Nothobranchius furzeri: one gene and its partner. The protein of the gene in region 1 interacts with the protein of each later gene in a pairwise test. Links are inferred from orthologs where the notes say so. Each region holds a gene or a part of one and is shown in the gene's direction. Other genes may lie near its edges. The genes, in order: slu7 and ppil3.

Evidence for each region.
Region 2: the proteins of slu7 (region 1) and ppil3 interact in binary tests that used the Homo sapiens proteins (3 or more experiments, as listed by UniProt). The link is inferred for Nothobranchius furzeri from reciprocal best matches to the Homo sapiens genes SLU7 and PPIL3.

The regions. Positions count from the first base shown.
Region 1 is NC_091741.1:96,576,094-96,580,357, forward strand, and holds the start of slu7 (pre-mRNA-splicing factor SLU7), read left to right. Parts: upstream 1-1,451; 5' UTR 1,452-1,679; exon of another isoform or gene 1,680-1,691; intron 1,692-1,803; 5' UTR 1,804-1,815; coding exon 1,816-1,964; intron 1,965-2,131; coding exon 2,132-2,285; intron 2,286-2,363; coding exon 2,364-2,444; intron 2,445-2,558; coding exon 2,559-2,723; intron 2,724-2,913; coding exon 2,914-2,979; intron 2,980-3,091; coding exon 3,092-3,223; intron 3,224-3,308; coding exon 3,309-3,406; intron 3,407-3,482; coding exon 3,483-3,550; intron 3,551-4,264. UniProt on the Homo sapiens protein: Required for pre-mRNA splicing as component of the spliceosome. Participates in the second catalytic step of pre-mRNA splicing, when the free hydroxyl group of exon I attacks the 3'-splice site to generate spliced mRNA and the excised lariat intron.
Region 2 is NC_091750.1:33,241,648-33,245,398, reverse strand, and holds ppil3 (peptidyl-prolyl cis-trans isomerase-like 3), read left to right. Parts: upstream 1-1,387; 5' UTR 1,388-1,492; coding exon 1,493-1,495; intron 1,496-1,651; coding exon 1,652-1,726; intron 1,727-1,859; coding exon 1,860-1,953; intron 1,954-2,038; coding exon 2,039-2,106; intron 2,107-2,185; coding exon 2,186-2,304; intron 2,305-2,518; coding exon 2,519-2,645; 3' UTR 2,646-3,135; downstream 3,136-3,751. Other genes in the region: zgc:101858 (3-oxoacyl-[acyl-carrier-protein] reductase FabG), read left to right, coding at 3,267-3,290, 3,431-3,601. UniProt on the Homo sapiens protein: PPIases accelerate the folding of proteins. It catalyzes the cis-trans isomerization of proline imidic peptide bonds in oligopeptides. May be involved in pre-mRNA splicing.

The DNA.
Region 1 (4,264 bases):
AGCCTCTTAGTTCTGGGCTCTTCTGGATGTCTCTACCAAAACGGACCTACTTTGTCACCAGTGTTGTAATTGTATTTAATCACATAAACACTAAATACTTGTTTGGAATTATGATTAGTAATATTTTAAATTACTTGACTTAATCCTAGTACTGTATTTTAAGTATTGTGTTTAAAATCATAACAGCAGAGCATATATACAGTGTATTCTTAAACCCTGCCTGTTACTGATGGATCACCACAGGTTTTCTGTTACACGTGTGGAGGAGGAAATGAGAAAGTCACACTCACGCTCTTCAGATGAGATGTTCTGGCCCGAATGTGACTCAGTTCTTTTAATCTGGCAGAGAAGTTCATCAGAGGGACCCAGGTGAGCCGGTGGGGCGGTCAGGTGTGATCCTGAGTGATCGGGCTTCTCCCGTCTTCAATCGCCTGGTGACTTATCTGGGTATCCATTATTTATACATACAAAAGGCTCCACCTTAAGGGTGGCCCCAATAATATTCTTTGTTGTTGCTGTTGAATAACTAATCATCTCTACTGTATGGCCTATTCCATAGAAGTGTTGTGTGTGTGTGTGTGTGTGTGTGTGTGTGTGTGTGTGTGTGTGTGTGTGTGTGTGTGTGTGTGTGTGTGTGTGTGTGTGTGTGTGTGTGTGTGTGTGTGTGTGTGTGACCGAGGGTGTCTGCATCCCCCTTGTTGCATCTGGCGACAGGTATGGACCCCCTGTCAGCTCGATGGGGAAGAAGTCTCCCAGGGTGGTCTGCTCCGGTTTGGGTTGCTCCTGTTTTGCTCCCTCTTGTATGTATGAAATGTCAGATCCCTCAGCCTTTAGGGGTGCCCAGGGCTGCTTGATTATTTGGTCAAACAAGATGGTGACTTCACAAGGCTTTCTGTGAGACCCTGGAGCAGGGTCATGTCTAACTGGTGAGAAATACTTCAGCACATCTGATCTCCCAACTCTCTCCCACACCGTTCCATGGGAGACCCTCCTGGTTCCCAAGGTCCCAAGCCCTTCTCATATCGGAACCGATTTAGACCAAAGGCTTCTTTTAAATGCCCCATTGGGATTTATCTTTATCTGTTCCCCATGGGGGCATCCCATTCATTCATTATTCATTCATTCATTCATATGTTTTTTATGAACATATATACATGAAACAGTGTTCAGTAACTAGAACAAATAGAAGTGTACATATGTAAGTATATATATATACACATATACATACATATAAGCACCTACAGAGAGAAATTCAAAACCGTTTTAAAACGTTGGCAGCCCTGCTCAGTCTGCACCACAGACATATTTATTAATATATATTATAATTATTATCATGAATGTCTGCACATTTATTTCACCGAGTGAATGGTGTCCAGTGGTGTCGCTGTTAAAACTGTGACTAGAGCTATAAAGCAAAACACCACCGAAGAAGAAGAGCAATCACCACAGAAGAAGAAACGTAGCCCTCCCTCCCAAACAAAAATAAAATGGCGACGATGGCGTATTACTAGAAAAACAAATAAAGGGGAAAAAACGCGCTTTACGGAGGAAACTTTTAATTTGAAGACATAAATACCTTCTGGTGCCATATTTGTTTGATTACTACAAAGGAATTCTAGCTATTAAGTTTTATTTTTGTACGGATAAAGTTTTTGCTCCGTTACTCAGACGGTAAACAGGTTAGTTCGAAGGTGAAGTATGTTTTCATAAAAACCCTCACTAAGTTAACGAGATCGATCAGGTGTACAGATTTCTGTTATGCTGATGTAACTTAAATGCTTATTTTCATGTGGATTTCTGAAGACGCATCCAGTCATGACTGAGCAACCCAACACGACCTCTGAGGGGATCGTGGGCCTGGATGAGCCCAAGAAGATGACCAGAGAGGACTGGAGGAAGAAGAAGGAGCTGGAAGAGCAGAGGAAGCTCGGAAATGCCCCAGCCGAGGTGGACGAGGAGGGAAAGTAAGTGAATGGGGGGTTCGTACTGGTGATCCATTAAAATGTTTAGCAAGTTTAGATTAAACGCTTTAACCTGCATGGTTTGACATATCTCTAACGTTGGAAGAAAGGAACTCAGTGAAAAGCTTGGTTCTTCAGGGGTGTTAAATCAGCTGTTTTCTCGTCTCCAGGGACATCAACCCTCACATCCCTCAGTATATTTCTTCAGTTCCCTGGTACATCGACCCATCAAAAAGACCCACGCTGAAACATCAAAGACCACAGTCCGAATGCCAGAAGCAGTACTCCGCAATAGGGGACTGGTACAAGAGAGGCGTGCAGGAGGTCAGGAGCAGGACGGTGTTTATTAATGATTTATATTAACATGCAAGTGTGAAACTTGGCTTTTTTGTCTCCGTGTAGAATGCAGTTACCACTAAATACCGCAAAGGTGCTTGTGAGAACTGTGGAGCTATGACACACAAAAAGAAAGACTGCTTGGAGGTAACCAAAAAACAGCAAAACAAGAGATAATTAGTTTTCTAAACCTCAGATGAAATCTCATTTATAATAAATAAAATACTGATCAAGATTTGATTTTCGTCTTTGTTCCTTCAGCGACCCAGAAAAGTTGGGGCCAAATTCACTGGAACAGGTATAGCTCCAGATGAACACGCTCAGATCCAGCTAACGATGGACTACGACGGAAAGCGCGATCGCTGGAATGGCTACGACCCGGAGGAACACCAGCGCATCGTGGAGGAGTACGCCAAAGTGGATCTTGTAAGTTATCCAGCAATGAACCCTGCAGTACTTCTCCTGTGTTTGAAATGGAGAAAGTATAAGTACCTCAAAGGGTGACAACAATCCAGATGTTGTCTGTTAAATTAAAAGTGAGAGAATCTGACTCACACCTGACAGATTAGTTATTCGCCATCGGTGACCTGGATGAGTGATTTCCTGTGTTTCTCAGGCTAAGCGGACCCTGAAAGCACAGAAACTTCAGGATGAGTTGGCCTCAGGGAAGCTAGACCAAAGTGTAAGTGTTCTGTAACACGATAAATAACAACTGTTGTAAAAGTTATGGAACCATTATGTAATTTGGTCTTTTCTGGGTTTTTTTTTTTTTTTTTTTTTTTTTTTTTGCACAGGAGCGTGAACATGACAGCGAAGGCGAAGATGAAGACAAATATGCAGATGACATCGACATGCCCGGTCAGAACTTTGACTCTAAGAGACGAATCACTGTCAGAAATCTGCGTATCAGAGAAGACACGGCTAAAGTAAGGCAGCGATGAACCGATGGCGAGCTGTTTAAAACTATTGAGTGATGGACGTAAAACATCAGAAACCGTTTGTGTTTCCTAGTACCTGAGAAACCTGGATCCAAACTCTTCGTACTACGATCCAAAGACTCGAGCGATGAGAGAGAACCCTTACTCCAACACTGGCATGAACCCAGATGAGTACGTTATGATTAATGCTTTCATCGTCTTATCAGCAGGTTAAAAGGAAATGATAATGAAGTGCTTTGTCTAACAGGGTGGGTTACGCTGGAGACAACTTTGCTCGCTACACCGGAGACACGATCAGCATGGCTCAAACACAGCGTGAGTCTTTACTGTGATTTCTTTTCTCTGCAGAAGTGACATAATATAAAGAAAGTTTCAGTAGTGTGAGGCGTTAACTGAACGAACCACAGCTGCATTTAGACAGGGTGTCCGCGGGTCCTTAAAAAGTCTTAAATTTGCTTTTCCAAATTTAAGGCCTTAAAAATCCTTAAAAATGACAAATAGTCCTTAAATACAGTTTCCAAAGGTCTTAAATTACCAAAGACCCAATAAACAAGATTCTTTTATTTTTGTCAAATTTTCATGAATTTCTAGTTGGTGTTCAGCGTTTTGTGTGTACGATGTTGGCGTAAGCGGAACCGTACACATTCAGCTGGTCGTGAAAGGGGGCTATTTTTAGATGAGCACATTAGCTGGTTAAGCTAGTGGGAGCTTGCGCCATGGGGAAGTGCAAGTTTAATGGTAACTGGATGGCTAATCCCACGTTTGCGACATGGTTAGCACCGGTTCCAGGCAATAGCTGGAAATTATAGCTTAAATTTAATTTTAAAAATAGCTTAAATTTGGTCAAAGTGGCCTTAGAAAAGGTGTTAAAAAGTCTTAAATTTGGCTCCCTTAAACCTGCAGATACTCTGTTAGAGTTTACAAAAGTTTTCTGTGAAAGGAAGTTCAAGTTGTTGTGATGTAACATGTTCATAACCGATCAGAAGAAATAAAAATACTAGCCTTAACTTATTACCAGTGGTCACAAAA
Region 2 (3,751 bases), on another chromosome or scaffold:
AAACTAGGACAGGTTATAGAAACGCGTCGGACCCGAACAATGCTTTTGCACTACGGCACCTTTAGTCCCCGGTTTTCTTTTCTCCAACTGTAACACGGATACACTTTTTTGTTTCATACAAATTATAATTTGTACCGTTTTTTTTTTTTTTTTGGTCTGGCACTTGAATGACTGCCAGCCATGAGATGAAAGTGGCATTTTGTTGACTCTAACCACTTTTTCAGTGACCCGAAGCATGTTAGCGATACACGTCTTAGCTAAACAATGCAGATTTTTAGATGAAGAAATCTCTGAATTTTATTTAGAAGTGTTCTGGTGAGTAAAGGGTATTGTTGCTAGTGACATGGTATTAGTGACGTTTTTTATGTTAAATGTGTGCTGATTTTAATTCACTTTCACTATTTTTTGTGACATAAAGGTTAAAGATATTATTGTTCAACTGAACTCAGGAAACCAGCTAGTATTGATCCTTTTTTATTGGTTGCCTTTTTTCTTCACCACCCGTAGTATTATGATTAATTTAAACCAATATAATGTTATTTTGTATGCATTTCTATATAGTTTCTATGTTGATGGTTTAAGCAGGATGTGCTTGTGTTTCAAAAACAATTAGGTTTATTGTCACGTGTGATTTTAATCATCAGTATGCGATATTTAAGCATCGTGTCTGTTGTATTTATGAGTCACACAGGTCAAGTGTGTGTGTGTGTGTGTGTGTGTGTGTGTTTGCCCGTGCGTGCGCGCACACACCAATTGCGTGATGGGATGTTTGTACCATGCACACTTCACATGTAAAACCATCATTCTGGGTACAGTTACCACTGTCAAAACCATTGCCAAGAAAAACAATTTTGGTTTTGTGATTTTTTTTCTTTTTTTACAAAGATTTAAAATACAAAATAACAGTATTGATGTAAGCTTGGATCAATATTTTAGTATTCTGTTTGAACTAGTCTCTTTTTATGTCTTGTGCACCATCCTCTACAAACAATAAAATTTGGTTGGTTAACTAATTCCATCATTTTTTATTTTGTGTCTGCTGCTTTCAGTGTTATTATAGATGTTCTGTTTAATTACTTTGGTTGATTCAAACCACTTTTTTATACATATTCGACCTAAAGGTCAGTTGGGTGAGCCCCCTGCCCCTTCAAAAAAATCGTTATAACTTATTTCTCCAAATTTTTATATTTTAAATACTTTTTAATTTTTTTTTGTCGTGATATTTGTCTTGAGATAAAATTTCTCCTTTTTTTCTTTACATTCTTTACATGTAATTTAGAATAATTAAAGGATGTTATAACTCGGAATAAAACAAATGTATATTTGTGATATTTATATATTCACCCACTTTCTTTTATCTGTTTTTAAATATCGCAATGATCAAAAGACTTGGGACAAGCACAACCATAGGTCTGCCGGAACCACCTAGCGCTAGATACTCATCCCACCCGGACGGGTTTTGTGTGCGCACACCATCACAGACGCGTTTGAAATGGTGAGAATGTTTTCTAATTTTGGTCGCTTGTAGTAAACAATAGAATACCTCTTTACTGTATTGATTGAATAAGTGTTTTATTTAGCTAATGTACGCGTCCGGAAGTGACATTTGACTTTAACCGGAGTCCACGTGACGCTGTGTTCATTTTTATAGGCGGTTACTCTTCATACGGATCTGGGAGATTTAAAAATCGAGTTGTTCTGTGAGCGTGCTCCGAAAGCGTGTGAGGTACGTTACTCTTTACCTGTTTACACGTTTGACATCCGCTTATAAAACTGTGATGACTACTAGCTAGTAAAAGTAAATATATCAGCTTTAGATGTAAGTCTGGTGAATAATCTTACCTGTTCTTGTGTTGCAGAACTTCCTTGCTTTGTGCGCAAGTGGGTTCTATAATGGTTGCATCTTCCACCGAAATATCAAAGGCTTCATGGTGCAGACTGGAGATCCTACAGGTCTGAGCTTGTTTTTGTGTCGGACAAATATAAATATGAAAATGAAGATGGTTATTGCCCCTTTCTTATACAAAATAACATGCAGGCACAGGTAAAGGAGGCACAAGTATATGGGGTCGCAAATTTGAGGATGAGTTCAGTGAGCACTTAAAGGTAATTTAACATGAAGTCATTTTTATTTCATTAATTAGTGTTTATCAAAAATTTGATGTTTTCTTTTCTCTAATTTCAGCATAATGTAAGAGGAGTGGTCTCGATGGCGAGCAGTGGCCCCAACACAAATGGTTCGCAGTTTTTCTTCACCTACGCCAAACAGCCACACTTGGACATGAAGTACACAGTGTTTGGAAAGTATGTAACTTATACTTGAATGTACACATGAAGTACACAGTGTTTGGAAAGTATGTAACTTATACATGAATGTACACATGAAGTATAAAAGTGATTCATTGGTTACTTCACAGTACATAATACATTAATAAAGGACTGAAATCCATTAGGTTTTCCTAATTCATGTCCACATATATGCTTCCTTACTCTAATCCTCAAGCTCTTCCTCTTACAGGATCATCGACGGCTTGGAAACGCTGGATGAGTTGGAGAAGCTGCCCGTGAACGAAAAGACATTCCGACCACTGACTGACACCCGAATAAAGGATGTGACCATTCATGCTAACCCTTTTGCTGGATAACTGACTTGGAGCTTGTATTTAAAAGAAAGAAACACTTGGAAAGCTGCACGGTGCCTTGTCAAAGTTAACACGAATTACTTGTCCAAGCCTGAAAAACACAGAGAGAAATCTCCCTGAGAGAATTACAACGGACTAAAGCTGCTGGGTTGTCTTTCACAAAAACAAAGAAAACCTGAAGTCCTTGTTGAAGTCATTGTCCAGAGAATATTACAGATTTTGCAACTTGTTGAAAAATTCAGTAGTTTCTAGCTTTGTGCGTAAACCAGTTTGGAAGCGACAGAACATTGGTAATAAGTTATTCGTGTAATCCATTAAACAGTTTCACAACTGAATCCAAAAATGAAAAGGTGACATTTTAAAACCGCGTTGGGCTTTTCTTTTTCCTCGTGTCGAACAAATGTTAGCAAGTCCATTACTGAAGAAATCTTTATGTATCTGCGACATTTTAATTACTGTGCTTTTTCATTACCTAATAAAAAAATGCAAGGTGTGTGGGGGTGATGGCTCTAGAAAACAAATTAGTAGACCTATTCACACTACAAATGTGCTCCCGTCGCGTAAATTTGCGTCATCAGTCGGGGACGAAACCTGCCAGATTAGAAGGAAGCTAAAGTCGCCCAAATGGCTTCAAGCGACGCGTTTAAAGTACGTTTTTGTGTTTAACTTGCTTTTATTTCATGTAAATCCAATATGAAACAGTCTTTGGTTGAATTTAGAGCAAATTCTTCCTCCTGTTAGGTTACCGCTACGTATCCACGAGTCATCATGGGTGCGTTTGTTTTCAGGTGTCTTCCCTGCGGGGGAAGGTGGCCCTGATAACGGGAGCCAGCTCGGGCATCGGAGCTGGAACGAGCGTCCTGTTCGCTAAACTCGGAGCTCTGCTGGCTCTGAACGGCCGCGACGTGTCAAACCTCCAAAAAGTGGCCAAACAGTGCACTGACAGTGGGGCTACCGAGGTAAACGATCCGAACACCGGAGGGATTCGAGTATGGAGAGAAAGTTGGGACGAAGTATTGGGGCTACTGATTTTAAAAAAAGTCAGGTCGAACATGCAGACAGAATTTCGGGGAAGACAGCAGAAATCCATATTCAGAAACGTTTATAAA